Linked DNA regions of Saccharomyces cerevisiae S288C. The protein of the gene in region 2 interacts with the protein of the main gene of each other region in a biochemical or structural test. Each region holds a gene or a part of one and is shown on either strand. Other genes may lie near its edges. The genes, in order: CMR2, PRK1, VAS1 and GPH1.

Region 1 (9,094 bases), on a different chromosome or scaffold from region 2:
CCAACACAACCAATTGAAGGCAATTCTTCTTCTTCATCCAACCAAGATATCCTGAAAGAGCCCAACGAGTCTACCGTTCCTAACAGTTCACAAGCAAGCTACATTTCTGAGAAAAATAAAAAAGAAAAAACTGAACTCTCTGTCCCCAAGCCTACACATACTGCCCCTCCAGCAATAGATGACAGGAGCTCGAACTCATCCGCGGTGGTCTCTATCGATAGCATTACACACTCACTACGCACAAACCATGTGGATGCCCAATCTGTAAGCGAGCTTAACGATCCTACTTACAGAACTAGAAGTCAACCAATAGCATACACTACCGAGTCAAGAACATCACATGTTCATAATAACCGCAGGAATTCCATCACTGGCTCCTTACGTTCCATCGATATGCGTGAACTACCCGCGGAAGGCATGTCGGATTTAATTCGTGAATACTCCAATGTTGATCAATACGGTAGAAGAAGGAAAAGTTCTATCAGCTCCCAAGGAGCACCCTCTGTTTTGCAGGCAGACGGTACTATTTCTCCAAATTTGACTAGAACCTCCACTTTACAAAGAGTCAAAACTTCCAACCTAACAAGAATAATCACCTCAGATGCCACTGTTAGTAAGAAAGATATTGAGACTTCCGGTTCCTCTTTACCAAAATGGCTACAGAAATTTCCCTTAACAAAATTTTTCGTCTTTTTTCTAAAAAATTGTCTAAGGCCTTGTTCCATGGCTGTTATCCTGGCTTTGATTATCGCTTTTATTCCCTGGGTAAAAGCCCTTTTCGTTACGACCAGTAATACACCAAAAATCAAACAAGCCCCAGATAATGCACCTGCTCTAACTTTCATTATGGATTTTACATCTTATGTTGGAGCCGCTTCAGTTCCCTTCGGTTTGATTCTTTTAGGCGCTACTCTTGGTAGATTGAAAATTGGAAAATTATACCCTGGTTTCTGGAAATCCGCAGTGGTATTAGTCTTTCTCAGACAATGTATCATGCCGATCTTTGGTGTCTTGTGGTGTGACCGTCTAGTGAAAGCGGGATGGCTAAATTGGGAAAACGACAAGATGTTATTGTTTGTTACCGCCATTACTTGGAACTTACCAACAATGACCACCTTAATCTACTTCACTGCAAGTTATACCCCTGAGGACGAAACTGAACCCGTTCAAATGGAATGTACCTCTTTCTTTTTGATGCTTCAATATCCTTTGATGGTCGTTAGTTTACCATTTTTGGTGTCTTATTTCATCAAAGTTCAAATGAAATTATAAAGTTCGTTAAGGAAGAAACAAGATCTATTCATGCATTCCCATTCTCATTCTCATAATTTCATTTCATCGTACAACTGAATCAGGGTGTAATTTTATAGTTGTTTGTTGGTCTTTTTTTATCAACGTAGAATTCACTTATTTCAGATTTTATAGAGTTTCATAGTATAAAAATAATAATGAAAACAAAACTTCATGCTTTTTCTTCTGTTTATACAATTTCACTTTTGATTGTTATTCAAAAAAATAACATTTAGTCGCAGCTTCTCAGTGTTACTAATCTTTTTCTTCTTTTTTCGAACATAAGATTTTCTGATGGAACGAAAAAAGGTGATCTTTTAATTATTTGTGAATCATAAATATCCTTTTCATTAATTTTTAAGTGGTATAGCGTATTTACATATAAAACATACATGATTATTTCATGTTTATAATCAAAAATTATAAATAATTATTTAATCTCTAATATAGATTAATTAGAGTCTTTCCACAACTCAGTAGCATCCAATAGTCATGACAAATTTACTGTACTTGGATGTGTTAAATATTGTCCTTTTCATAATCTGATAATAAATAAATGGAAATATTTTCACCATAGTTTATGCCAAATTGTGCTTCTATTTGAATTTTCTGATCAAACCAGGCTTGCATTATCGATGCTCTATTTTTCGCCCAAACTTCCATTATCATACTAGAATTTTTTGGGCTTATACCTTTAGTTCTCACAAATGTGCATAAATCTAAAATGACACCATGCTTATTTAACAACTCTGAAACAATTAAAGTCGTTAGATTACCCAAGATGGGATTATGTCGTTCCTTACACCTAATTAAGCACACTAATAATCCACCTGCTTTGGCAATCAAACAACTACCAATGTCACTGTGAACATCTTTAACGGTTCTCTCCAAATCACTAACAAAATGTGTCAATCCTAGAATTTCAATGGATTCATGAATACTTCCCAAAACAAACAACAAGTTCAAATTGACGACCTCTCCCTGTGAATTCGTGCAACTTACGTTTTTGATAAAGCCCAGATCACCAGTTCTCAAATAGCTTAAAGTGTTATTCACTTCGCTCTTCATCTTACTTTTGAATTGTTCTGTGATAAAGGGATCTTTGTACAACTTGTTTTTTGAACTGTTACACACAAAGTAGTCGAATGCATTAGCTTCCGAACAGCACCAAATCTCACCGAATTCTCCATCAACACATGGTAGGAGTGTCTCTGGATTAACTACTGAAACGTCAGTACATACAGGAACAACACCAGAATCTTGAATCTTGATATAGTTTCCAGCACTTACATCATTGGGGTTGACTTCTCTAATTATACCTTCCCTCAGTGAAAATGGGTCTAAATATAGGTCAACCGGAGGAATATCCAGATACGACCTTAATGATATAAGCGGATTGAAGTGATGTTGATAGACATAACTTATTTGTGTACATGATAGGGATATGGTTGAGTACCGTTTTAAAATATTTTCAATTGTATAAATCCTTGGTCTATTAGGAAAAGGTATCATGATATTTCGAACACCCTTGAAAACATCTTCTCTAAGCGAGCCAGATGTATTGTTTTTGGCAGAGTTTATATTCTCCTTCTTATTTTTGAATCCCTCAATCAAACTAGAGGCTCTATCCAGTAAAGCATATAACGTTTCAAGCTTCAAATATAAATCTTTTACGTTTAAATTTTGAAGGCCAATTAAAAACTCCTTAGGGTCAGTAAGAACATCAGTAAGGCTGAATAAGCAAGTTGAAGCACCCGTATAAATTCCTAACAAACAGCTGAACATAAAGCCCAATCCAGATGTATGAGAACATATAGAGAAAAGTGGACTATTATTTCTTAACTGCAAAGTTTCTTTGACTATTTTGCTTGCATTCAGTAAAGACGAATGTGTCATTGTTACGTGAATATTAGATGTTACATCATACTCTGTATTTACCCATACAACACACGGTGTCATACCAATCCTAGTACCTGGTTTGGCCCCAAATTTCTGCTTTAACACATTCTTAAACATAGATACTGTTAACGCATTCTTTGTCTTGACTTTTGAGAAAACTGTAATCTTGGGTATCAAACTTTTGTATTTCTTAAAACATTTGTTTACGACATTATTATCATTCAACAATGAGTGCAATTTAGCATCAACAAATACTCTTTTCACTTTGTAACTTTGAATAATATTAACCAAGCCTTTTAGGTCCTCTTCTATGACAGACTCCTTAACGCTTGGTAGGGGAATTACCAATAAGTTACAGTACAGGCAGGCCATGATCATCGCTACGTATTCAACCGAATTTTCACACATAATAATAATAGGGTCACCATGCTTCAATGGAATTTTAGAACCTACGATTTTTTTCAAAAAGCCTGCGACAATTTTACCAAAACTTGCCCATGATACCTTTTTGTGAACGTTATTATCGTTACTAGCTGAAGAGTTGACTAGGTTTGTGTTTGTACCATCACTGAACGCCGTTTCGTTCCCATAATTAGAAATTCTCCATTCCAGAATCTCTAAAATCGATTTGAAGTCTGTGAGTTTTGTATGGCTTCGAGTGTCAACAGACTCATCTCTGTAATCAACACCACTGCATTGTAGGGCAAGTTTTGGTTTAACGGGACCGCCATTACGATATGCTGGTTCGATCATAGCGTATTCTTCTTGTAAAGCCATCTTTCTCAATTTTGATAAATGCTCGGATAATATACTCTCATTATAGTACGCTGAATGGGGCAAAAAATCCAATATGACATTATCGAATTGAAACTTTACAAACTGTGCACTGAGATCATTGTTTAAAAACTTCTTCTCTACCGTGCTATTGGCCAATTCCAGAGAACAATATCTCCTAGGTAAAGTATCTCTCGGCACAACTAAAATGCACATTGGTTGGATTTTATGAAAAATCCAAAGAATTCTAAAAATTTGGTCAGTTAAATCATTCATTTTCGTTTCTAATTTGTTCCTCTGTGTTTCTGCAAATTTCATTAAGGTAGTATCTGTTGTTTCGCCATTTTTACTCTCTTCTTCGGTTTTTGCTAGGGAGCTTTCTACCACCATAACTAAAAAGTGCTCTTCTTTATGGTGTTGTAATTCAAATGCAGCAACCTCAAAAACTGTATTTACTGTCCTCACAACTGTTTCAGTAATCTGTTGTAGATAGTGGGATTCAACAACTCTTTTGTATCCCGAAGATGTTTCGCCACTTAAACTCGAAATATCAATAGCCTTAGTGCTTTCTGCTCCAGTGTTACCTTTAGGTTGAGCAGATTGATTCCCTTTTTTGGCATAAAGAAGGTTTGATGTGTGAGCCCAGTTAGGTAATCTGATTAATCTATTCTGTAAAAACATATCTTCTATGAGTGAAAGCACGTATATCTTTCCGTTATGAACAAACCCCATAAGCTTGGTTCTCATAAAGTAGGTATTTGCAGGACAAATATTCAGAATGGTATCCAATTGTTCAGTAACTGCTTGCGATTTTTCGTTAGTAGGCATTTCATACTTTGCCCAAGAAAACATTTCGGAGTAATTTAGTTTTGCTTTGAACACAAATTCGTTCACTTTATCCATCTGGTAAAATTCGTCGGTGATGTGGTTAGAAGAGATCCATATTTCTCCAACAGTGAGGTCTTGCACCAACGTATTCGTATCTGGATTAACCACACATAAAGTGATATCAGGAATTGGGAAGCCAAATGTTTCTAATTTAAGATAATCTTTGAAGGAGCTTGATGAATTAATCATAGCAGTTATGCTACATTCAACCTCATTAAGCTTCAATTTCTCGCGGTTTATAAACAATTCATTTTGAAGCCTTAGTTTTGAATTATGTATTGGAAAGTTCTCTAGGTTTCCTAATTGATCTCTTATAGATATAAAGATACCACCAAAGTCCAATAACGTTAACATGGGAGAATAACAAAATGGTGCATCAATACATCCTAAATTTTTCAGCCATTTATGAACAACCATCTCGCTTACATCGGTATCTATAGTGGTACATGAGGTTAAACATGACTTGATGCAACTGAAATCTATTTTGTGCTTCTTGGAAAAAGCTGATTCGGGATTTTCCAAATAATTAATAACTACCTGCTTCAATTGTAGCTGATCATTCAGTAAAATGTCGGCTCTAAATTTATCAATGATATTTTCATAGCCCCCAGGTCGTTGTAATATACTACTATCGATAGATATCATAAGATTACCAGTAAAAAGATTGAAAAGCACACCCATTATCAAACCAGTAGATCTAGTAGGGTCCAGACTATTCAAGATAACAAACCTTGAGTTGGTTGCCATAATTTTTTTGTGAAATGGCTTCCTGATGCTTTGTGATTTTTGTTTCCAGTGAGGCATTGATCGTGAGTTTAGAATTTTTGTCATCGTTTCAAATTGGTTTATTAAGATGTTATGCTTCATGACGACGCCAGAAAGACGACCTAGCGGTGTTCTAGTAAACTCTATATATGAAATATTCGGTATATCAAAGGTAGGCGAAGTTTTTTTTGCCTTTGTGTACGTCCCTAAGTCATCAGTCTTGACAAATTTGATTTGCTGGAAAACATCGTTCTTAACCAGTTTAACTTTTGAATGATTTGATGACGAATACAAGTTATCTAATTGTCTATGACATGCGTTAGAAATCAGAACAAATTTCGAATTTGTTACTTTAATTATCTCAAGGATCTCACGCAGAGAATACGTTTCGAATGAGACTGGTACAGCTGCCATGCCGGATATGAAACAGCCTAATAATGCAATAGTAAATTCGATGACATCATTTTTATTGTACCATAGTAAAATCTTATCCATTTTGTAAAGGTGACTCTTATTCAATTCATGTGCTACCCTCTCCGCTTTCAAATAAAGTTTATCCCATGTGATGAACGTTTCTTTGCCTTTAGAATTTATGCTGATCATCGCTGTTTGACCATCATAATGTTCAAAGCGTCCCCGTAAAATTAGCGGTAAAGAATCCGTCATTGCTGAGTCTCCACTGCTAGTATTTTCGGCTCCAGTGTGTCTTGGTAGTAATGGTATCATAGGATTATAAACGGCATCCTTCACTGAACCGTTTTCATCACTGGAACCTGGCAATGACGATTGCAAAGAAGCTGTATATCTCTTGCTCCGCCTTCTGGGAGTATTGTTCGCAGAAGTCGAGTTTATAGTTGTGACACGATAGATAGAATGACGTCTGTCAATTGAATTAGGTAACGACGTAATGGATGATGCAAGACTTGTATTTCTTCTGTGCAAATGTTTCGACTTTCTCGAATTGGGAGATCGAAGCGGGGTATAAGGCCTCATTTGGGAGATTTCAAATTTGTCTAGCAATTGTTTTCTTTTGGTCTCATAACCCTTTCTTGTTAGATTTTCATCCTTATAGTCTTGAATTAACTCATTTAACCGACTTTGCAGATCTAGAGGTAAGGTAGGAGGAATAGAAAAATCCATTGGAGTAACTCAATGCCACACGCTTTTACACAGAACTGAATCACCCTAACACCAAGTTTACGGAAGCAAATGTTAAATCTGTTGAAGCTCTTTTGACTACATTATAAACAGAAATAAAACATACTAGAAAGTAATCGGGTTTTGACGATTTCATCCATTACCCGTCCGAATGATGGCACTTATAAGATAATGAAGATGTACGCAGCATTAAAACCCTATTTGCAGAAGCATAGTAAGACGCAACGTACGCTGAATTAGACTGAGACATTACAGTTGCTTTGACATTGGGAAGATAATTGGGATTTAGAACGGAAAAAAGGAAAAGACAAGCTAATTGTAGAGATGGGCAATTCAATTTCGAAGGTTCTGGGAAAACTATTTGGCTCGAAAGAAATGAAAATTTTGATGCTAGGCCTGGATAAGGCTGGTAAGACAACAATATTGTACAAACTAAAATTAAATAAAATAAAGACGTCTACTCCCACTGTCGGTTTTAACGTGGAAACCGTTACTTATAAAAACGTAAAATTCAACATGTGGGATGTAGGAGGACAACAAAGATTGAGACCTCTCTGGAGACATTATTTTCCAGCCACCACCGCACTTATCTTTGTGATAGATTCTAGTGCTAGAAACCGTATGGAAGAGGCCAAAGAAGAGTTATATAGTATCATAGGTGAGAAAGAGATGGAGAATGTAGTACTGCTGGTATGGGCAAACAAACAAGATTTGAAAGATGCAATGAAACCTCAAGAGGTTTCCGATTTTTTAGAACTGGAGAAAAATTTGAAAAACCAACCTTGGTGTGTCATCGGTAGTAACGCCTTATCCGGACAGGGTCTTGTTGAAGGATTATCCTGGATTTCGAACAACACAAACGTTCCAAAGAAATAAACATTGCATTTATTGGTGTTGAATCTGCATACACCGATTGTTCATCCTTCATTTTTACTGGATTGTACTTTACTAAAAAGAAAACTTCTGGAAAAAAAACAGTATCCAAATAACTAAATAGCTTTAATAATACAATATAAAAAATGGAGACACTGTTGTGAAAAGTCAACCTTTACTACGGTTTCTGTCTTTGCCTTTGATCTGCTCACTTTTCGGTAACTTCAACACTACCGTCAGAATTACCGAAGTAGGCTTTTGAAGCGTTGTCGATGAATAAACCTGTTTCCACCACGCCCACTAACAGTTTGATTTCTCTATGCAATTTTCTTGGATCGGAAATTTCACCGAAATCCGCATCGATAATGAAGTTATTATTGTCAGTTACAACAGGACCTGCTTTAGCAGAACCTCCTTGTCTGATGTCAACTTTTTCAGCATGCAATTGTTCTAATAGATCATTCTTGACCCTCACGTATGAGGAAGGTACAATTTCAATGGGAACACCTTGCCTCCAGTTCTTACCTAAATGTTTTGGTGACTTTTTTCTTGAATCAGCAACGACAATGAAGGTTTTAGCACTAGTACTAACCAATTTTTCTTGAAATAGACAAGCACCACCACCTTTAATTAATTGTAAATTCTCATCCACTTCATCAGCACCGTCAAACGCTATATCAATGCGAGGATACTGTTCAATGGAGCCTAATTGCAACTTGTTATCCAAAATCAAGTTTCTTGATTGGAATCCTGTTGGAATGCAAATGAATTTAGACGCTACTTCATAAAATTTAGGGTCATGCAAATATTGTCCAATTCTTTCGGCAACATAAACCACTGTGCTACCACTACCAATTCCAATAATTTTGTGATCATCAAATTTTAAATTTTCATCAACTGCTCTGTATGCTGCAGCTCTCTTGGCATCCTCCAAAGGATTGCCCAAAGATTCTAACGCATCAATTTTTGGGACACCGGCAGCCATTTCTTTCCTATGTTGTATTTATATGAGGTTGCAGTATGCGGTAACCAAGTTTATGTAACACGATGTTGTTAATTTTCTACAAGAGAAAAGAACGTCCCAGTACAAAGAGAATAAATTGCATGTAATAAATTGAAACAGTTTCACACTGCAACGCAAGCCGTACATATATTATATTATCCAAAGCGTACGTAAACTGACACCCAATTACGAACCAGATGAAATTTCACCGAGTTAATCGCTTTTCCCTCATCGCAAAAAAATTTTTCAACTCATCGCGACTTTTCACTGCCTCGGCCACAAGCAATCTGGGCCATGCCATTACTCCCATTAGCCCGAAAAAAAGAGGGGGTATGAAGCTAGTACATCATTATAACAAGTACTAAACTCAATTAATTCACTTACGAGACTTATACCAACGCTGGTTGATATACCACATTTGGCAGCATCCAAGGTTTCTCGTAA
Region 2 (6,999 bases):
TCCAACTACTAAGGTGGAAGGTTACTCCTCACCAATTGTTGCTCTAAGGAGGGAAATGGGCCTTTTCGCTAATGTTCGTCCTGTTAAGTCTGTAGAGGGAGAAAAGGGTAAACCAATTGACATGGTTATCGTCAGAGAAAATACTGAGGACCTGTACATTAAAATTGAAAAAACATACATTGACAAGGCCACAGGTACAAGAGTTGCTGATGCCACAAAGAGAATATCCGAAATTGCAACAAGAAGAATTGCAACCATTGCATTAGATATTGCCTTGAAAAGATTACAAACAAGAGGCCAAGCCACTTTGACAGTGACTCATAAATCAAATGTTCTATCTCAAAGTGATGGTCTATTCAGAGAAATCTGTAAGGAAGTCTACGAATCTAACAAGGACAAGTACGGTCAAATCAAATATAACGAACAAATTGTGGATTCCATGGTTTATAGGCTGTTCAGAGAACCACAATGTTTTGATGTGATAGTGGCACCAAACCTATACGGGGATATATTATCTGACGGTGCTGCTGCTTTAGTCGGTTCATTAGGTGTTGTTCCAAGCGCCAACGTAGGTCCAGAAATTGTCATTGGTGAACCATGCCATGGTTCTGCACCAGATATTGCTGGTAAAGGTATTGCTAACCCAATCGCCACTATAAGATCTACTGCTTTGATGTTGGAATTCTTGGGCCACAACGAAGCTGCCCAAGATATCTACAAGGCTGTTGATGCTAACTTAAGAGAGGGTTCTATCAAGACACCAGATTTAGGTGGTAAGGCTTCTACTCAACAAGTCGTTGACGACGTTTTGTCGAGATTATAGAGCATATAATAGGAAAATAGAAACGAATAAATAAATGAATGAGTGACAAGATATATTTCAAAAAATTTCAAATGATTGACGAAAGAAAATTTGTACATTTTGTATGACTTTTAATATTACATAGTCTATTATGTGTGAGAGCAAGTTTTAAACTTTGCTGGGAAACCTTTTTCTAAAATCGGCTTCTAAATCATCTACGTTAACATCAACAATAGTTTCTGTGGCTTCGCTGGAAATTCTTTCAATCGGCAGTTTCTTTGATTGTAAACGACTAAAGTTTCTTATCTTCTGAATTTCTGTCCTTAAATGTAGTGGTTTTGGTGGTGGACGTGGTGGTCTTGATTTATCTTTACCGTTGCTTTTCGTTTTGATGTCCAAAACACCATCCTTAAGGGTTTTCTTAAACTTTTCTTCTGTGATTGGTGTTATTCTTACACTTGAATGTCGATTGGAAGTTTCTGTACCAATATCTGTATATTTACCATACCCGGATGCGGATTTATACGTTACCGGATCATCAGAACTCTTTAGTAAGTTATGCACTCTTCTTTGAATTGATTCCTTCTTTTCTTGATTTATATTAACGTTGCCATTATCTGGTATCAAAGTAGGCTTTGATGTCGTTTTAGCTGATGCTTGAGTTTTCTTCACTGGAGAATGAGACCTGTAATAGTCCCTTGATCCAGTTCTCGAGTTATTCCTCTCATGCTGGTCAAAATCTGATAAAATTGAAGGAGGCATACTGCGACGTTTTTCCAGTCTCTGATTCTTGTCTGATTCCTCTTTTCTTTTGGTATCAGAATTAAATTTAGGAAAGGAGGAGGTTGAAGACGAAACTAATCGCCTGTTTGTATTGTTACCATTGCCGTTGACATTGTTATTATCAAAGGAAGCAGACCTGCTATTGTTCACTGAGTTTCCTGTAAACCCATGACGAAGCTTACCAAATGCTGATCTGATACTATCACCAGTATTTTGCCTTGATTTAATCGGAGAATTGCCGCGAGATTCACCAGTAATAACCTTTTTTAACTTAGAGCTTAGTGAACGCACAATCTTGCTTCCATTTATATTATCTGGAGCAGCAATTTCTTTTGTGGAGCTTAGTGATTTGCTTGTAATGGTGGGAGATAGTTTTAAGTTTGGCACAGCCATGTTATCTATAGTTTGCGTCTCAGAATCAACGTAGTTATTTGGACGATTTATTGCCGAAACTCTATCAAAAATGTCATTATTAACAGGAGTAAGCGATAATGGAGGCATAGACTTCCTTTGTGGGGATTGGAAACTTTCTACTGATTTGAAAGTCTGAGACTTTTGAAAAGGGTGTAGCTCTTTATAATATAGTGATGCAAATTCATCAGAAAGTGGAACGGATTTTGTTTTCATTAAGGGACTAGTCAAATTTGAATGGCTTCCAACCTGTAAGCCAGCATGCGCCGTTACTTCTGTCTTGTTATTATCATTAATAGATATAGGGAAAGTACCCAAATTAGGAGTAGTACTGACGTGAGTTACAGGCATCATATTTGGTGGCTGGTTGATGCTCTGAAGGCTTTGTACGGGAATAAATTTCTGTGTTGGAACATAAGTTGTCGAAGACGGTTCACCGGCCAATTGGGTATTCGCATTCTGATTCATTGCTCTTAACAAGTAAAAATTTCTAATCGGGCAAGGCTTATTCTGTAACCTGGAAACCTCCTCTAAAACTTGACAAATATTTGGCCTCTGAGATGGTGCTTCCATTAACATAAGACGTATCAAATTTTTCAACCTGTCACTATACTGCGGAAAGGATGGATATTGATACCTTGCATGTAGTATACCGGCTTCACCACTTTTTTCAAACGGCGTAGTATAGTAACATATTTTGTAAAGAAAGACACCAAGAGCCCAAATATCAGATTTTTCGTCGATAGGTAACCCTCTGTACAGGTCAATCATTTCAGGTGATCTATACTGAGCTGTAGTATTTGTTAGGATGTCGTGTTGAACATAATTAAACTCTTGAGTATTTCTAGGTGGCCTTATCACACCGGAAACGGAACCAAAATCACAAACTTTATACAAGCCATCATGAGAAATAAGTACATTCTCAATCTTAATATCTCTATGAATCAATGGCGGCTGCAGAGCGTGCATTGCAGTTATACCTTGGACGGTTTGACTCATAATTTCTAATATTTCAGATTCTTGTAATCTATTTTGTAATCTGGTGTTCATAAAATCTATAAGACCTCCACGTTCACAAAATTCCATTAACACAAACACCTCATATGCTATACCATTTACAGACCTTGCAGCATGTGAATCTATGTAAGAAACAACATGCTTATTATTTCTAAGGAGTTTCATAGCATCCACTTCAGCTCTCAAGGTATTTAAACCCTGTTTATGGGGGACAATGACTCTTTTCAAGCATGCTATGTTAGCATTGCTATATGGGTCAGGAGGGGAAATTTCGGCAGTATATACTTGTGCGAATCCACCACTCGTAAGGTATTTGATAATCTTAGCATGATGAGATCCCACAGTTAATATTGTCCCGGGTTCATACAGACTAATCTGTGGAGTATTCATTGTTTTTGGATCAGTTCAACTAAAGATAGGAGGTTACAAATAATCTTGATCAACACTTCAATCAAAAAAGATTTTTTTCGCTGAAGATAATAAACTATCCCACAATGGAAATTCAACCTGTATTAGCGAACTAACTTATGTTCAAGTGGAGCCTGTGACCTGCCTGCTTGGTGACTTTTTTAGCGTTTCCTAAATGTACTGTTCTATATTTTTCTTTTTCCAAGACCTTCGCTCTGCATACGCCTGCCTGGTTATAATTACAGTTTTTTTTAAAAACCTTTACTAAGAATAAATAGTAACAGCTAGTGCAAACTAACGACATTGACATTTACTTGATATAAAATAATTGAGAGCGATCATATATATCGGAAATCTCTATCAGTACTAATATTAAATTTACATGAAATACTTCAACAAATTCCTGGTCTCTTGGCCCAGTTGGTTAAGGCACCGTGCTAATAACGCGGGGATCAGCGGTTCGATCCCGCTAGAGACCACTTATTTTTATGACTTCTTGGAAGTCAATTTTTTTTTCCTTCTGAATCAGTAATAACAAAAGTCGTAGTTGATCTTGTTATTGGATCATGTACATCAGTATTATTAATGATTTTAGTATTTCAAGCTGGCTCCCATATTTTTCTCCTGTAGAAAGAATGTAAATTATTCGGAAAAAAAAAAAAAAAAAGAAAAGAATTGGCGATGCGATGAGCTTAAAAGAAAACCTTCCATTACTTAAATTCATTGGAGCCTGACAACGTTTAGTAACGTTAAAATCATAGATTAACACCAATCATAACCTAAAATTATCAATGGCCAGGAAATTGAAGGGTAAGATTGGGAGTAAAGGCCTAAAAGGTGCATTATTAAGGCACAAGGCCAAAGTGAAATTAGTGAGGAATATTGAAAGTAAGCAAAAACATGAACTAAGAAAGAAAAATTCGAGCGCTAATAACAAAACCGTGAAGAGAAACCAAGAATTCCAAAAACTTAATCAAGGGAAGGTTATGCCCTTTGAGAAGGATGAAACTTTGATGCTATGTGGTGAAGGAGATTTTTCTTTTGCCAGATCCATTGTTGAACAAAACTATATTGAAAGTGACAATTTAATCATAACAAGTTACGATAATTCTGTGAATGAGCTGAAATTGAAATATCCGCATACTTTTGAGGAAAATTACCAGTACTTAAAAGATCTAAATATTCCGATATTTTTCCAGATTGACGTTACGAAGCTCGTAAAGAGCTTTAAAATTTCCAAAAATAATACTTGGTTTAAAATAATCAACAGGCTTAGCGATCATCGTTGGGGTAACAAACCTTTACAAAATATAGTTTTCAATTTTCCCCATAATGGAAAAGGTATTAAGGATCAAGAAAGAAATATTAGAGAGCATCAGGACTTAATTTTTAACTTTTTCCAAAATTCCTTACAATTATTTAATCTTATAAACACGAAAATTCAAAATGATACTCTTCGTTATACGCAAGGCTATGATCTTAATGAGGATACTCCCCAGGCTAAAAAATTGACCGCCGAAGGTTATGGTAACATCATACTGTCCCTTTTCGATGGAGAGCCCTATGATTCATGGCAAATCAAACTTTTAGCCAAAAAAAATGGACTAACTCTGAGCAGATCGAGCAAATTCCAATGGGAAAATTTTCCAGGATATCATCACCGGAGAACGAATAGCGAACAAGATACTACAAAACCTGCGAAAGAACGTGATGCTAGGTTCTACATCTTTAGTAAATATGTCTCGAATAGTTCAAAACATAACCGTAAAAGCAAAAAAGACACAGATTCTGATTCAGACTAAGTACAGAAGGAAGAATGTCGCCATGTTGATGAAAGAACTTTCATTTTCCCTAATTCTTATATAGCGTAAGTATCTGTAAAATAGTTGTGAAAGTTGGACAAATCTTTATATAAAAAAATGCATATAGCTTGAAACTATTTCAGGTTGGGTACATTTTGATAGAATCTGATTCGCAAAATATTTTCATGTCAACTGGATCCATAATTTGACCTGGATTTAAAGAAATTAAGTTTTGCTTTTTCAATGTTTTGGCCAATTTCTTCAATTTTTTACTGTCGTAAACATTTCCATTTGGTAATAGTATTGGATTTTCAAATAATTGAGACTGAATGTGATGAGCAAATGGTAATGCCTGTGTTATTGGTTTGAAAGTCTCACTGCAAACGGGACAATTTTTCCTTTTTAGTGAATGTAGCGTAAAGAGTTGTAAATCTTCAACTTCTTTCTCTGCTGTTGTGGCAGTTTCCGTCTCTTGATTTCCATTTTCATCGTCAGAAGGGTGCAGGCAATCTCTTGTCTTCAAAGACGATATACCTAGTGACAGGTATATCAATAAAGGGTCATTTTGTGATATGCCATACATGGAATAAAAGTCGCTCAAGAATAAATCATTTAATACCGACCATCTTTGATCATCTAATAAATTCAGATATCTTTCGAAATCTCCACTTTGTAAATTTATTAAGGAACTCTTGTCATAGTCTGTTGTATTCACCGCAGGTTTGGAGGTAATTCTAGGTAAAGATTTGTGAAAAAAATGTTGAAATATTCGATCTTTCTTCATTGGTAAACTTTGAGACTTAATCTCTTCAGTATCGAATCCAGAGCTGGTAGAAGAAGTTGGCTTTTGATCATTACAGTATTTGATAAAAATCAGAAGTCCAGATGCTAATTTTAAATCGGTGAAGTTGCTCTTAACGAATGGTAAAAGGAATCTTTGAAAACATACTATAGCGTCGGTATAGTTATCCACCTTTAGTAGTTCAATATATTCTTGCAATCTTGCTTGAAACTCTAATATAGAGGACTTTTTGGTCAGTGTCTTTTTGTTCTCGTTTATCCATGAAATTAGGGGTAAGAGATTACGCTCATGTAGTAACGAAGTCGAAATTCTATTAGCCTCCAAGAGGACATCATAATCAATGAGATCATCCAGTTGGCTCTGTTTCAAAAACACTACGCCAGAGTTCCAATGATCCTTTGTCTCCGAGTTGTATTTAATCGGGTTATTCCTCGTCAGATAATCACCAATTAAAATGTTTGTATAACTCTGATACCACTGTATCAATTTAGTCCTGGTACCCTCATTATTTCCATTGTGCGATGTTCCTGAATTTTGTGACTTGATGTCCTTCAGTTCGTGGAAAAACTCCAGCCTTTTTTTAATTCTGTTCAAAATCTGACAGTAGGACTTGATTTGCGTATTTAAAAATCTTTCTATATGGTCAACTTTCCTAATCATTTCAGTTATTTTTGCTAGTGCCAACTCGTCGTGCTCAACGTCATTATGTTCAAATATTTGATTTAATGCGGCCGTGTGTTCATGTAGTGATTTGGTTTCCTTATTAATTACCGCTTGAGTATGCTTGATACGTTTGGACAGTAGTTCATAAGGAATATGAAATAATTGTTGATTTAATTTCAAATGGAAATCCACATCAGGCTCATTAAATATTGATTTCTCTGCCATGGCTTACCTACTTTCCTATAATTTATAATCATTTTCTCTGTTTTATGTATGAAATTGTAGATTTAACCACCCCCTTCTCTTCGCCT
Region 3 (7,604 bases), on a different chromosome or scaffold from region 2:
TCTAGTCCAAATGGAGTTAAATATCTATTAAAAAGGGAGTATGAACTAAACTGCGCTGAGCCATAGGTAACGTACAGCAAAGAACCGGGTATGTTACCCTTCCAAAAGGACCGGATGCCTTCGTTCTTTATCATGCTTCTGGCCACCTCCATGACCTGACTTCCGAAGGGCTTCAGCCCATTTGCAGGGGTCAATTGCAATCTGATCTTAATGGTATCCATGGGAGCAGTTATGCTACGGGCAAGCAGCCCGGATACGGCGCCAGCCAACAAAGTTTTCCACGCGGCCACATTTTGCCCTTTTCTTAACGAGTCCTCCTCTTTGAACATATCAACATTTATGTACTTTGAATGGTTTATATAAAGCTCCAGACTATGCCAAGTTAAAGGTGACAAAATAGCGCCTTTTCTTCATAAAGACTATTATGTACCTCTCTTTTTCTTTTTACTACTTTTTTTTTCCTTTTAAGCGCATCGGATTGTGGAAAAAAGAGTGGAAAATTTGTTAGATGAACCAGTTAAGATGCATAAAATATCTCTGCATATATGGTAATAACAAGGAGCCCAATACCAAGAATAGATTAGATTCTGCTGAAAAAAAAAAAAAAATGAGCGTCCAAGCAGAAATAGGGATATTAGATCATGTAGATGGTTCATCTGAATTCGTATCACAAGACACCAAGGTTATTTGTTCTGTAACAGGCCCTATTGAACCAAAAGCAAGACAAGAACTGCCTACACAATTAGCATTAGAAATTATTGTACGTCCCGCGAAAGGGGTGGCCACAACAAGAGAGAAGGTACTCGAAGATAAATTACGGGCAGTTCTGACCCCACTCATCACTCGTCATTGTTACCCAAGACAGCTCTGCCAGATAACTTGTCAAATTCTGGAATCTGGTGAAGATGAAGCCGAATTCTCCCTGAGAGAGCTAAGTTGTTGTATAAATGCGGCATTTTTGGCTTTAGTTGATGCAGGAATTGCCTTAAATAGTATGTGCGCAAGCATCCCTATTGCAATAATCAAAGACACTAGTGATATCATTGTCGATCCCACTGCCGAGCAATTGAAGATTTCGCTCTCTGTCCACACTTTAGCTCTGGAGTTCGTCAATGGCGGTAAAGTCGTGAAAAACGTTTTATTGTTAGACAGCAATGGTGATTTTAATGAAGATCAATTGTTCAGTTTACTGGAGCTGGGTGAGCAAAAGTGTCAAGAACTTGTCACAAATATAAGAAGAATAATACAGGACAATATATCACCTCGTCTAGTTGTATAGCCATTATAGATTATAATATACCACAACATGCTATGTCGTATGCCGGAGACTACCTCTTATATTTGGAAATAGTTATTATTCAATGTTCTAAAATTCTTAACATTTTCGTTGTTACATATACATAGCATATATATATATATATATTACATTAATTTTTATCTACCTTCAATCTACAATTTCAAACGCTTCAAGTTTTCAATAGTAGCTTCCAAACCTTCGATTTCGGCAACAGTGTTATCCAGCTTGCTTTTATTGGCTTCCTTGGCCTGTGTATTAGCCTTTGTTTCGTAATCCTTACTGTTAATGGTTTGTTCAATACCGTTCTTGGATTTTTTAGCCTTTTCAAGTTTCTTTTGAACTTTCGCAATTTCAGCATCAATATCAACGTGTCCCTTGACGAGAAGATGTACATTGACTTCTGGGTTAACAGATTGCAATACGCAACCTTCTGGAATTTCGGAAGCATCACGAACAACAGTGACTTCGTCGATGGCCTTGATCAACGAGACAATAGAATCTTTCTGATCTTCAGCAGTTTTGAAGTATTCCTCGTGGTTAGATTCAACGAAAACCTTACCATTCTTCAAAATATTGTACTCAGATAACAAGGAACGAGCTTCTTTGGTAATGTTCAAGACCAAGTCGTAAGCATTGGCCGATTTGACATCATCGTACTCAGATACGTAAACTGGATAAGAAGCTTTTACAATTGAGGCAGCCTTCTCAGTGGAACGCTTTGGAAGTCTTTGCCACATTTCTTCAGAAATGAATGGCATGAATGGATGGATTAATTTCAAAGCGTTGTCCAGCAAGATATACAATGTATCCTTTGCGGACTTCTTTTCAATAGCAGAGCCTTCTTGAATCAAGTATTTAGAGTTCTCGATGTAAACATCACAAATCAAATACCAGAATTCGTAAATACTGCTAGTGGACGTCAAGAAGTCACGTTTATCTAGAGCTTCATTGACAATTTTCGAGGTTTCAGTCAGCTTGTGCAAGATCCATTTTTCAACCAAGGATTCGTTACCTGATAGACCTTCAGTGGCAGGTGGTTGATAATCGTCACCGAGTCTCATCAATGCAAACTTGGTAGCTTGGTAGATTTTGTTACAGAACTTTCTGTAACCTTCGACACGTAAGATATCTAAGTTAATATCACGACCACCAGTGGTATAAGCACATAATGCAAACCTCATAGCATCGGTACCACATTGAGGAATACCGTTAGGGTAGGATTCCTTTTGACCGATCTTAGCTTTTTCAACTTCTCTTGGATCTAAGTTACCTTGTAATAATTTTGCATGCAAATCATCCAACTTAATACCAGTAATAACGTCTAGTGGGTCAATAACATTACCTAAAGATTTAGACATCTTACGACCTTGAGCGTCACGGACTAAAGAGTGGCAGAAAACTTCCTTGAATGGAACTGAACCGGTCAATTTTAAGCCCAATAGAATCATTCTAGTAACCCAGAAGAAAAGAATATCCCAACCAGTTTCCAACATAGAAAAGGGGTAAAAAGTTTCCATGTCTTTAGTCTTCTCTGGCCAACCCAAAGTGGAGAAAGGCCACAAACCGGACGAGAACCAGGTGTCTAAAACATCTTCATCTTGTTCCAGAGTAAATTTGGAATTAGGGTATTTGGCAGCAGCCTTCTTTTCAGCTTCCTCCATGCTCCTACCAGCAACCCAATAGTCACCATCAATTCTATCGTGTTCTTCGCCTTCGATATTAATAAAGTAAACTGGACAACGATGACCCCACCATAATTGTCTGGAAATACACCAATCTTGGATGTTACCCAACCAATGGAAATATTCAGCCTCAGAAGATTTGGGGGTGATGGTAATTTGACCATCCCTAACAACCTTAATAGCATCTTTGGCCATTTCACTTTGAGAAACCCACCATTGAGGTTTCAATAAAGGTTCAATAATGTCACCAGATCTGGAACAAGTTGGAATGGTCATTTCATTATCTTCTTGGCCAACGTATAGGTTCTTTTCCTTCAGCTGCTCAATGACCTTCTTTCTGGCATCAAACCTCTTCATGCCTTGCCACTCTGGACCACACTCCTCGTTTAATAAACCATCGTCAGTCAAAATATTGATGAATTCCAAATTGTGACGCTTACCGGTATTGTAATCGTTTTGGTCATGGGCTGGAGTGATCTTAACGGCACCAGTACCGAATTCCATGTCAACAGCTTCCTTGTCGGTGATAATTGGAATTTTTCTTGGTAAGAAAGGATGTTGGATGAACTTACCATGCAAGTGTTTGTAACGGTCATCATCAGGATGAACTGCAACGGCAGTATCACCAAATATAGTTTCAGGTCTAGTTGTAGCAATGATCAGTTTTTCATCGCTACCGATAACTGGATAAGCAAATGATGTTAAAACACCAAATTCAACCTTTTCATCATAGCCTGGGACTGATAAAAGCGTTCTACTTTTAACGTCCTTATTTTCGACTTCCAAATTAGAGATAGCGGTATTCAATTTAACAGACCAATTAACTAATCTGGACGCACGATAAATAACACCTTCATCATGTAGTCTAACAAAAGCTTCTTCAACAGACTTGGTCAATTCTGGACTCAAAGTGAAAGCTTCGCGGCTCCAATCATAAGAAGCCCCCAATTTTTGAATTTGGTTCTTAATTCTGCTATGGTATTCCTCTTTCCATTCCCAGACCTTACCAACAAAAGCTTCTCTTCCATAGTCATGTCTAGTCTTTCTGTCCTTAGCCCAGATTTGCTTCTCCACAACGGACTGAGTAGCAATACCAGCATGGTCGAAACCTGGCAAGAATAAGACAGTTTTACCTTTCATTCTGTTATATCTGATCAAAGAATCTTGGATAGCAATAGTCAAAGCATGACCAATATGTAAGGCACCAGTGACGTTTGGTGGAGGTGCTGGAATGCAAAATACACCTTCTGGTTTAACCTTACCATCAGCGGTAAACTCAGGTTCAAAAACACCAGTCTTGATCCACCAGTCATACCAAGAACTTTCAACGTTAGCAGGGTTATAAGCTTTTAAAGCCGGATCATCCAAGGATACTAAGATTTTTTTCTCACCTGGAACAGTTTTGTCAATAAATTCAGGGATTGGCTCAACTTCCTTCTTTTTCTTAGGTTTCTTTTGAGATGCACCTGTGGTGGCAGCAGCATTTTTTTTAGCTTGTTTGGCAGCGAACTTTAACAGTTTTTCAGCCTTTTTCTTCTCTTTTTCAATTTCCTTAGGAGTCTTTGGAGAGCCATCTTCCTTTAACGGATTAATGATGACCTCACCAGTCTTTGGGTCAACTGGAGGCAAATTATCAAGATCGCTCATTTTAAAGAACCTGACTTGATTATGAGTTAACGACTTCTTCAGAGAAAAGTTTTGACAAAGTGGTAATGATCGCCTATAATGACAGTTCAAAAGCCGAAAAGTGAATGTCTTAGATAATGTGTTTAACCACTTATTCATACCATCTAAGTAATTCCATAAATCTGAAGGACATACAACAACGATGACAGCCAGTGGTAGCACACACAGAGAACACCAGTAGGCTGTATGGGTGACTCTTCTAAAAAAATTTTTTCAGCGCGGTCTCTCGAAGAACTTTACCCGGTTTTTCTTTTAATTCATCACCTCTGAGTTGCTAGGTCTCTTAAACGTTCAGAGGTAGCATGACTTAGTATTCTACATATATATACATATATTTGGATATATTTGAAATTCTAAATGAAATAGTTTTAGTTTAGTTTTCTGTGAGAGAAATGTCATAGGTCCTGTAGGCCTTTTGAAACTTTTCAGCCTCTATAGTCTCTTGTTGCTTAGTTTGTAAACAGGTTGAAGAATTCCATTTCACCCTGCGTGGCAAGTTAAGTAAAAAGGCTAGTACACGTCGTCCAAACTGCAGATCTATTGTCTCACTGGCATTAAATGTGGCCAAATATATCTTTGGGTCCGCTTCAGGAGTCTCGTAGACGGTAAATTGTAAATAATTATTGGATTGGTTGTTAATTACATCCACATATTGTTTGGAAGAGTGTGAATCGTAACATTGGAACTCTAGCTTAGCATTTCTTGTGAATTTTTCGTTATTGAAATGAACCTGTCTATCTAAGGCACTGCAGAACTTTAGAACGAGGTATTTTGGAACGGGAATAACTTGTTTGTGGAAATGAATAGAACGTTCAGACTGTATTTCGAAGACAATCGTGCACATATCAAATTTTATGTAGTTCATCTTCACAAGACTAGCTTCATAAGCCAAAATACTCTGTGTCAACTCTGCGTTCTTGCTTGGATCTAATTTCGGAATATGTTCAATGGGAATAATGAGGCAATGGCCTGAGATATCCATATCACCCTTAGGAACACTTAAAGGTCCCTTCGCTGTGGTTAAATACACTAGTTTGCCGATTGATATTATCATATGATCCTCGAGGTTTGGATTTGAAAAGCAGAAATGACAACTTGACGGCAAAATCGTTCGAATTTTTTTATTTTCATTCTTTTCTCTATTAGCAAGTACCTGTTTGTCTCCATCGAACGAATTCTCTGTTTCTGTTTCTAGTGGCCTTTTATTGCTGTTTGTAACCACGCTATTATACGGGTTAGCTATCAAGTTGGGCGGTTCAGGTTCATCCTTTAGTTCGTTGTCCCCTATTGGCATATTGAATGCATAGGCCCATTTCTTTCCAGATCCATATTTTGGAATATTGAGGAACCTCGATAAGCGCTCTCTTTCCCACTGGAAAGGCTCTAATTCGTAAAAGTTTATTTCATCTGAAAAGGCAAAATGGTACCTTGCTTGTAACTTTTTCGCCAATTCATCAACAACTTCACTTCCAGACAACCTTCCACATCTCTCAGAGATCGAAAGGCCCCATTCTTTTGTAAGGAGAATGTCTACCTGATCCTCACTTTTGCCAAATTCGTCCAGTATGCTTTTTTTCTCCCCTTGAAGAGTATCATCCGGATAAATAAAATATGAAAGAGTGATTCCATTTGCTAATTTATAAGTACCCATATTATGCAGCAATGTTACATTTTCATTTATCTTTTTGGATTTCGAATTGTTAGCCTTATCACACGATAGTAGTATTAGTTGAGGTAACCCATCAGTATTCAGCTCAAAATTTTCATCATACGAGTTACTGAATATAATTATTAGATCAAAGGGCCCTGATTTTTCATTCACTTTCTTGATCTTTCTGATAGCCTCATCGGCATCGCTTTCACTTATATGAGCTACTAAAATCTTTGCATTTGTCATCCTATTTTTATATGTAAGTTTTTGAAGTGAAAAAGATATCAGTAAACCATAAGCCCTTTTTTATATATTATGGATCCTTCTAAGAGAGCTACCTTGCGTTTTTTGTACATCTAGCAATGTAGTATCAGTCCAATTTGTAATTATCATTGAAAAAACAATTGATGTTAACACCCATTCCTTTTCATTTTTTGCAGATTTTCGATTAATAGTGGTCATTGCTGTTTTCCTGTAAAACATTACCAAGTTTCGCCGCTCCCAACATGAATGCTTAAGTTTAGTTCAAAACGGTCATGGGATGGACCGTTACCGTGAACTGAGATTTTAAACAATGGGCTTGAAGTCCTAAGTAATGCACAACTATATATATATATATGTATATTTATGAAAAAAGCGTTCATAGGTGCTAGTTGAAAAGTTTGCATGAAGCTCGTTAAAGCTAATTATATCGCGGCGAATGCAAGACAAGAATTCATTTTTACGCTAGTAAAAGGTTGAAAAGGGGTCTGAGTGTTCCAGTCCGTTGAATAAGATGCCACTGGAACCCTGTTTACCATTTCTATGTCGGAAAGTGAACCCAACAAGTTTTGATGATACTGCCGAGTCATCTACCATAGCCGTTAATTTGTCTTGTCTTTTGAAAACATCAGCATATTTGGCCATGTCAGCCTCACTGGTGAAGTCATCAAAATAACCGGCATCAGTTTCGCTGTCTAGTTGGGGTGTAAAAGGCGGGATCATTGACCTCAAAGTACTAAAGTTTATATCTGCAAAATAAGACATGCGTTTAACATGTTCGAAGGATCTTAATCGATTGATTGGATCGGCAATCAATCTTGTTATTAAATCCCAAGTTCTATCGGAGAATGCTGCCCTCCCATCAGATTGTCTCGGTCTTCTTAAAGTTTGTTTCCAGCGCCTTAAGTTGTCATAGGTCTCATTAGTCGATGATCCACTAAATGGTGTATAACCAACTAAACTTTCGAACAGCATACAACCCAACGACCAGTAATCCACAGTAAAGTCATATTTCTTTCCTTCTAAA
Region 4 (7,166 bases), on a different chromosome or scaffold from region 2:
GACAGAAGAAGATTGGGCCGTGGCTAGATATTTGCCAGGTGCTGAACTAACAACAACTAATTACAAGCCAACGTTGAGGGAAAGATTTGGTAAATATCTAAGTGAAACAGGTCTAGATTTTTTAGGACAGTTGTTAGCGTTAGATCCTTACAAGAGGTTGACCGCTATGTCTGCTAAACACCATCCTTGGTTTAAAGAGGACCCTTTACCATCAGAGAAGATAACATTACCGACGGAAGAAAGTCATGAAGCTGATATTAAGAGGTACAAGGAAGAAATGCACCAATCATTGTCCCAAAGAGTACCTACTGCGCCAAGAGGTCATATAGTTGAAAAGGGTGAATCACCTGTCGTGAAAAATCTTGGGGCGATCCCAAGAGGCCCCAAGAAAGATGACGCAAGTTTTTTGCCTCCATCAAAGAACGTATTGGCTAAGCCGCCTCCTTCGAAAATAAGAGAACTACATCAAAATCCTAGACCGTATCATGTGAACAGCGGATATGCTAAAACTGCGATTCCACCGCCAGCAGCCCCTGCAGGAGTTAATAGATACGGACCCAACAATAGTTCCAGAAATAATCGCTTCAGCGGCAACAGCACTGCACCCAACAACAGCAGGAATCCCGTAAATCGATTTCATCCTGAGACAAATGTCAGCTCTAAATATAATAAAGTACCTTTGCCATTGGGGCCTCAGTCAAGATACCAGGGTAATTCAAATGAGTCCCGGTACAAAAACTCGCCAAATGACTCTAGATATCATAACCCTAGGTACGTGAACAAGCCGGAAACCAACTTCAATAGGCAACCACAGAAATATAGTCGCCAAGAATCCAATGCGCCAATCAATAAAAATTATAATCCTTCAAACGGTTCTCGCAATATGGCTGGTGATCATCATCAAGGCTCGAGACCTTCTCATCCACAATTCCCAATCTCGCCCTCACAGGGGCAGCATCAGCTTACGAGTAAACCAATAGAGAAAAAAAATGGAAGCTTTAAGGATGAAAGAGCGAAACCAGATGAGTCTAAGGAGTTCCAAAATAGTGATATTGCAGATCTATATTAGGTTATACTATTCTCTCTTCCTTTCTGGCCTCGTGGCTAATTACGGAAAGTTGTATACTGACTACTATGTAATCTATCACGTTTTGTCACTGTCTCGCTCTTTTCAAACAATCCATAAAATCGAAACTATTGTCAAAACGTCAGTACATCCTACCTGATAGGGACTGTACCAATGTCAACGTTCGAGTAAGTGATAATAAGGACCGCCTTACCCACCTTCAGGACACTCGGTTTTACACAAGCGTTATCCTGCGCGGATTTTCAATATGAAAACAACTAAGTTTTCCTGTAACATCATATATACCATTTAAAAGAGTGCCAAAAAACCGATAACGATTATTTTAAAGGCGTTTTATATAAGAGAAGAAGTAAAGAGAAAAAAGCGCTTACTAGAAATGGGGAGAAGGGTGCCAAAGAGATAAAAAAAACTCCCAGCTAAGTCACTGGTTCAACGTTCCAAATGGTATCGGAGTATTCCTCGATACAACGATCACTGCTAAAGAAGCCGACGTTTGCAACGCTCAGGACACTCTTTTTTAACCATTCTGACCTTTGATTGTGGAACTCCTGGTCCACTAATTCATGGGTGGCCAGATAGGATTCAAAGTCATCACTGACCAGGTAATAATCGCCGTGGTACTTAATACTGTCGACTAAAGGTTTGAATTCATTTGGATTTTCTGGAGAAAATTGTCCACTTTCAATGTAGGATAAAACAGAATCCAAACTAGATGGTAAATCTTGTGGATGGTATTGATGGTTGTATCTCAATTCTTCGACATTTTCACTTAGGTTACCAAACAAGAAGACATTATCTTCACCAATTTCCCTTGTGATTTCCACATTGGCACCATCAACAGTACCAATAATCAAACCACCGTTCATAACAAACTTCATATTAGAAGTACCAGACGCTTCAGTACCAGCAGTAGAAATATGCTCACTCAAGTCACTTGCTGGAATAATGATTTCAGCCTTAGAAACATTATAATCAGCAACAAAGACAACCTTCAACAAATGCTCAATTGACTCGTCGTTATTAACAATGTCAGCAACACAGTTGATCAATTTTATGATCAGCTTAGCCATGTAGTAACCAGGAGCACTCTTACCACCAAAGATTGAAACCTTGCGTGGATATTTCTTGGCAACTTCTTCGATCGAAGCACCGTTCTTCAGCATATTCTTCATTGCCAGGTAACGGTATATAATACCAAAGACGTTTAGCTGTTGACGCTTATATTCATGAATACGTTTAACTTGCATATCAAACAAGGTGTCGTCCAAATACTCTCTGTTAATGATGTCTACTCCATCATTTTCCTTTTTGATTAAATCTACTAATCTGATCTTATTATTAAGCTTGACTTGGTTCCATTTTTTCAAAAACTCCTTATCTTCAACATATTTTCCCAACTGGGTCAGTTTGGCCATGTCCAACAAATACTCCTCTGTTGGATCGTTAAGGGTTTCACTGATCAGTTTAGCCAATGAAGGGTTAGCTTGCTTCAACCATCTCCTTGGTGTGATACCGTTAGTGACATTGACAAACTTTGATGGACCATAGAACTTGACAAAATCTTTAAATATGGTCGTTTTGATTAATTCAGAGTGCAATTCAGCAACACCATTAACCTTGTGTGAACCAACAATAGCCAAAAAGGCCATTCTGATCTGTCTTTCTGGAGAGTTTTCTTCGATGATGGATATACGAGACAAAAGATCAACATCCTTGGGGAATTTTTTGGCCACATCTTGCAAGAAGAACCAGTTGATATCATATATAATTTCCAAATGTCTGGGTAGCAAATGGCCAAAGAGGCCGACGGGCCATTTTTCCAGGGCCTCTTGCATAACAGTGTGGTTAGTATAAGCAAAAGTCTTGGTCACGATGTCCCAAGCCTCGTGCCAATCTAGTTTTTCTAGATCGACCAAAACTCTCTGTAATTCAACGATGGCTAAAGTTGGATGAGTATCATTCAACTGAATAGCCACTTGGTCAGGAAATTCAGTCCATGGCCTCTTGGATTTTTTGAATCTTCTTAAGATGTCGTGTAAGGATGCAGCACACCAGAAGTACTGCTGTTTCAACCTCAACTCCTTACCTTGAGCAAAGTTATCGTTTGGATACAACACAGCGGTTATAGACTCTGCGCGTTGTTGCTGAGCCACAGAGTTTTTATAGTCACCATTATTGAATTTTGCAAAATCAAATTCTGTTGTTGGCCTTGCTTGCCATAGTCTTAAGTTATTTACATTGGAAGTCTTGAAACCCGGAACTGGGAAATCATACGCGACAGCAAGAACTCTTTCCCCACCGATCCATTGTGACGCACTCAGTGTAGTTTTACCGCCTTCTGGTCTATCAACATAACCATAAAAGGTGACAGGAATTTGCACTTCGTTACGTTCAATTTCCCATGGATTACCAGAATTTAACCAGTAATCTGGAGTTTCCACCTGGTAACCGTCAATAATCTTTTGAGCAAAGATACCATACTCATAACGTAGACCATAACCCCAGGCAGGGATGCCTTCCGTTGCCATTGAGTCGACGAAGCAAGCTGCAAGACGACCTAGACCACCATTACCTAAACCTGCGTCCGGTTCTTGGTCCAAGACATCCTCTAACTTGAAACCTAAATCATCCAAAGCCCCTTTAATCATTTCTCTTGGTTTTCCCTTTGAGGCAGCAGGGTCTTCCGGATCTTCAATCTTCATATTAATCAGGGCATTATCCAAAGCCCTACCCATCAAAAACTCCAAAGACAAATAGTAAACTCTCTTTGGGTCTCTTGTGGTGAATTTCTGCTGAGTTTTGTTCCAGTCAATGACCAAATTGTCACGAATACTCATCGAAGCAGCTTCATAAGCAGCCATGTCATCACAATTATATAGGGAACGTGCTAATGTAGTTTCCACATGGTCAATGAATCTATCTTGAAAATCTTCTGCCTTGTTAAATTTTTTGACTTGATGCTTATTCCATAACGCTCTTGACTTTAAAGGAATCATCGTGTCAATTGACTTGATTTCTTGGGGAAGAAACCCCGTAAGTCTCCTTGTAAGCCTTGGGATTTGGTGTGGAGAAGTAGGTTCTTCGGTTATCATATCATTGGTAGTACTAGTACTAGCTGGCGGCATTGTTCAAAATTAAATTAAGTTGAAAGCTGCTTTACTGAAATTGTAATGTAGAGAAGTCAAAAAAGATCCAATTGTTTTTCTTTTGGATATTTTTAGTAATCGTTACCTTCTCAATCTGTGCTTACTTTATATTACAATAGCAAGCAGAAAAAACTTATAATACTTCGTACGTAATCAAAACAAAAGGTACAACAAGAAACGGGAAGGCACAAAGAATCTTGCTTTACTGCTATACAAACTTCATGCTCCTTTTATACATATAATATATTCGTCGGTGTTCCTTCCTTATCTTTGTAGCATGCACATGGTAGTTATTAACCTCCCCTGAAACTTTTTTAGCGAAAATTATCCACCCCTTACTTATTTCCTCGAGAGTCTCTAAAAAGTAAAAATACAATAACGGTAATTGGGGAAGGCGTTCCTTGTTAATTCAAAATGTTATCCTTGAAACATAGAAGGTGCTGGCTGCATCTCGCAGAGCTTCCTCTTCCGTTGAGCGTTGTATTCTTCCCCCCACAGTGCTACTAGGCGATGCCGCTACCCCTTGAAGGGCCTTCCCGCTGTGGGGCAGCGGCCTTTTTTCCTTAGTGGGAAACAAGCACCGGGGTATATTTCATTGTCTATCAGGAGAAGAGATCGTATACAAATGTTCGTGAGACGGTTTCATCTTGACTAGTTGCCTTGCTAGTCGGATAACTAGTGGAAAGCAGTAGGACACTCCCGATGAGTTTGCGTTTCCACGGGGTTTGACAGAGCTACCTATTGTCTTTTTCATCGAAGGAAACGGTAGTTGGACCTTGCCTTGGATAAGTTGGTGAATCATCCAGAGCTTTAGAAGGGAGCAAAAAATAAAATCTGCGCAAGCCCGGAATCGAACCGGGGGCCCAACGATGGCAACGTTGGATTTTACCACTAAACCACTTGCGCTTGTTATTTACATGAGTGTGGTACTTCTATTGATGGTAGGTGTTCCATTACTTTTTTCGTCTTAAGATGAGCGAGCAAACACAGGGAGAAAATAAAGCGCAATTATTTACCTCATAGGGTACACAATATCCGTGAGAAAAGGATGAATTTGAAATAATTATACAGACTCCTTTTTTTTCAACGTAAAATTATAAGCATAGATTAGAGGCGCTCCTGGATAATAATAGGAACACACACAAGTAAATCAGCAATTTCTCATATCGTACTTATTCGGTAGAGTTAATAATATTCTACTAAAATAACTACTGGTAAGTAGTGAGAGCTTGATTTTTGTACTAATAACTTGTTTCAAAAAAAAAAACGAATAATCAGTTTTACAAAAATGTGTATACCTATATAAACAATCTTAGAGGTAAAGTTCTCCCTCACTAAAAATAATAAAAAATTACGTGCAGATGAGAACCCCGTCTTACCTTAGTATACCTTTAGTTCCCTTTATGACCCGATTTGAACGATAAGTCTTTTATATTTTATTTCTTCCTAAAAGAAAAATGTATGCATTGTAAGTAACTTTTTATGACCATGGTAATAATTAAAGCCGAGGGCTTGTAGATTTACCATCAAAATACCCGCTTAAGAGGATAACTTGAACTTCGAGCTAGTACATTTACCAGTTAGGATATTCTTAGGGAACGTGTAACCAGCATCTTCCCAAGTAGTTAAGTTTGCATTCTGGAATGCATTTAAGTGCGATTGAATATAATCATATGTTGGATAGTCACTTGGATCGCATGTCACGGATATAGCATTACTTGGTTGGTATATTCTAACATAGTCAATCGACATAACCACTGGGAAGAAAATATACTGCCAATCAATATAAGCCCAATTGTTGGAAATACCCAGATTTAGAATAATCGACATTGGTTCTTTACTGATTCTTCTCCAACCAATATTACCATCAGGATGTAAGGCTTTAGCATGAATAGTATAAGTTGGAGTATCACCAACAAACCAACGGATATAACCATTGTCGTCATCGTTCAGATACTCAATGGCATATTTTTGAAAGTAGCCACCGTACTCACCGAATTCATACCAAGTTACGTTCAAAGTTGAGACAGCAGATACGGCTTGTTGAAATGGACCGCCAGCATAAGTGTTCATGGTCGTTGTTGTGAAATTGTAAACCTCGATAAAATCATAGTCAGGCATGTACCAGATATCAAAAGGTGCAATTTGCAAGGATTGAGAGGCTATACCTACACCAATCTTAGTATCAGTTTCACCTTCCAAAACATCAATTTCTGGAGCTCCTCTACCAACACCTTGATTCGGATGATCTTCACCATCACAAGTACAAATACTTAACTTTTGTCCCGGCAAGTAAGAAATACCATCCGGGGAACTTTGGTTGGGTGTAATACCAGCATCACACGATTCATAAGAATAAGGCCAGACACCTTGGGTACTAGCCAAATAACCGGGCCTCCCTAAATTACCCATAGTCCAAAGACCGGGCCACAAACCTGAAACACGGCCATAATTTGGTAGATTTGCAGAGATTTCTAGAGCACCCTGCGTGAAACAAACCTTATTCCAACTCTGCAACATACCTGATCTGTAATATAAGCCATGGTTCTTAAAGGCATCCATTCTCAGCTGCAAGGTTCCGTTCACAGTTGTGGAAGCGTCTGGACTGTACCATTCTAAATCCTTAGTAGCATCATAGTGAACATCAGGGGCTGTCCAGTATGGATCATCCCCATCATAAAATGTTCTGCCTTCTGCATTAAACTCATCAGAAAATACTAATTCCCACTTAGAGCCATCCATAGCTTCTCTTGTCTTCGCTGTATCAGGTGTGTCTGGGTCAACCAGAGATGTTCTAATGGCGGATAGTTGAGGATATTGGTATTGAGTTAAATATGTAACTTCTTCAGTGTTGCTTTCGTGATCAATAGCACCGGTAAAGGTCAACGCTGGCAAAACAATAAAAATAAAGATGGCTGCCAGAAACAAGAGCA

The links.
Region 1: of the proteins of PRK1 (region 2) and CMR2, one has a biochemical effect on the other in vitro, tested with the Saccharomyces cerevisiae proteins (one study listed by BioGRID).
Region 3: of the proteins of PRK1 (region 2) and VAS1, one has a biochemical effect on the other in vitro, tested with the Saccharomyces cerevisiae proteins (one study listed by BioGRID).
Region 4: of the proteins of PRK1 (region 2) and GPH1, one has a biochemical effect on the other in vitro, tested with the Saccharomyces cerevisiae proteins (one study listed by BioGRID).

What each region holds. Positions count from the first base shown.
Region 1 is NC_001147.6:495,697-504,790, forward strand, and holds CMR2 (Cmr2p), read right to left. Parts: upstream 6,757-9,094; coding exon 1,810-6,756; downstream 1-1,809. Other genes in the region: putative ATPase ECM3, read left to right, coding at 1-1,272; Arf family GTPase ARF3, read left to right, coding at 7,099-7,650; ribose-5-phosphate isomerase RKI1, read right to left, coding at 7,856-8,632. UniProt on the Saccharomyces cerevisiae protein: Homeostatic regulator of a chemically distinct subset of diacylglycerols (DAGs) with C36 chain length that prevents the toxic accumulation of these specific DAGs in the logarithmic growth phase, which otherwise leads to endoplasmic reticulum stress.
Region 2 is NC_001141.2:180,341-187,339, reverse strand, and holds PRK1 (serine/threonine protein kinase PRK1), read right to left. Parts: upstream 3,404-6,999; coding exon 971-3,403; downstream 1-970. Other genes in the region: LYS12 (homoisocitrate dehydrogenase), read left to right, coding at 1-823; BMT5 (25S rRNA (uracil2634-N3)-methyltransferase), read left to right, coding at 4,213-5,223; glucose-induced degradation complex subunit FYV10, read right to left, coding at 5,363-6,913. UniProt on the Saccharomyces cerevisiae protein: Protein kinase involved in the regulation of actin cytoskeleton organization and endocytosis. Phosphorylates PAN1 which disrupts the interaction between PAN1 and END3, and between PAN1 and SLA1. Phosphorylates SCD5.
Region 3 is NC_001139.9:669,346-676,949, reverse strand, and holds VAS1 (valine--tRNA ligase), read right to left. Parts: upstream 4,765-7,604; coding exon 1,450-4,764; downstream 1-1,449. Other genes in the region: thiamine transporter TPC1, read right to left, coding at 1-329; exosome non-catalytic core subunit RRP46, read left to right, coding at 608-1,279; DRN1 (Drn1p), read right to left, coding at 5,039-6,562; serine/threonine-protein kinase DBF2, read right to left, coding at 7,043-7,604.
Region 4 is NC_001148.4:858,352-865,517, reverse strand, and holds GPH1 (glycogen phosphorylase), read right to left. Parts: upstream 4,213-7,166; coding exon 1,504-4,212; downstream 1-1,503. Other genes in the region: cyclin-dependent serine/threonine protein kinase SGV1, read left to right, coding at 1-1,069; YPR159C-A (uncharacterized protein), read left to right, coding at 5,103-5,204; beta-glucan synthesis-associated protein KRE6, read right to left, coding at 5,773-7,166. UniProt on the Saccharomyces cerevisiae protein: Phosphorylase is an important allosteric enzyme in carbohydrate metabolism. Enzymes from different sources differ in their regulatory mechanisms and in their natural substrates. However, all known phosphorylases share catalytic and structural properties.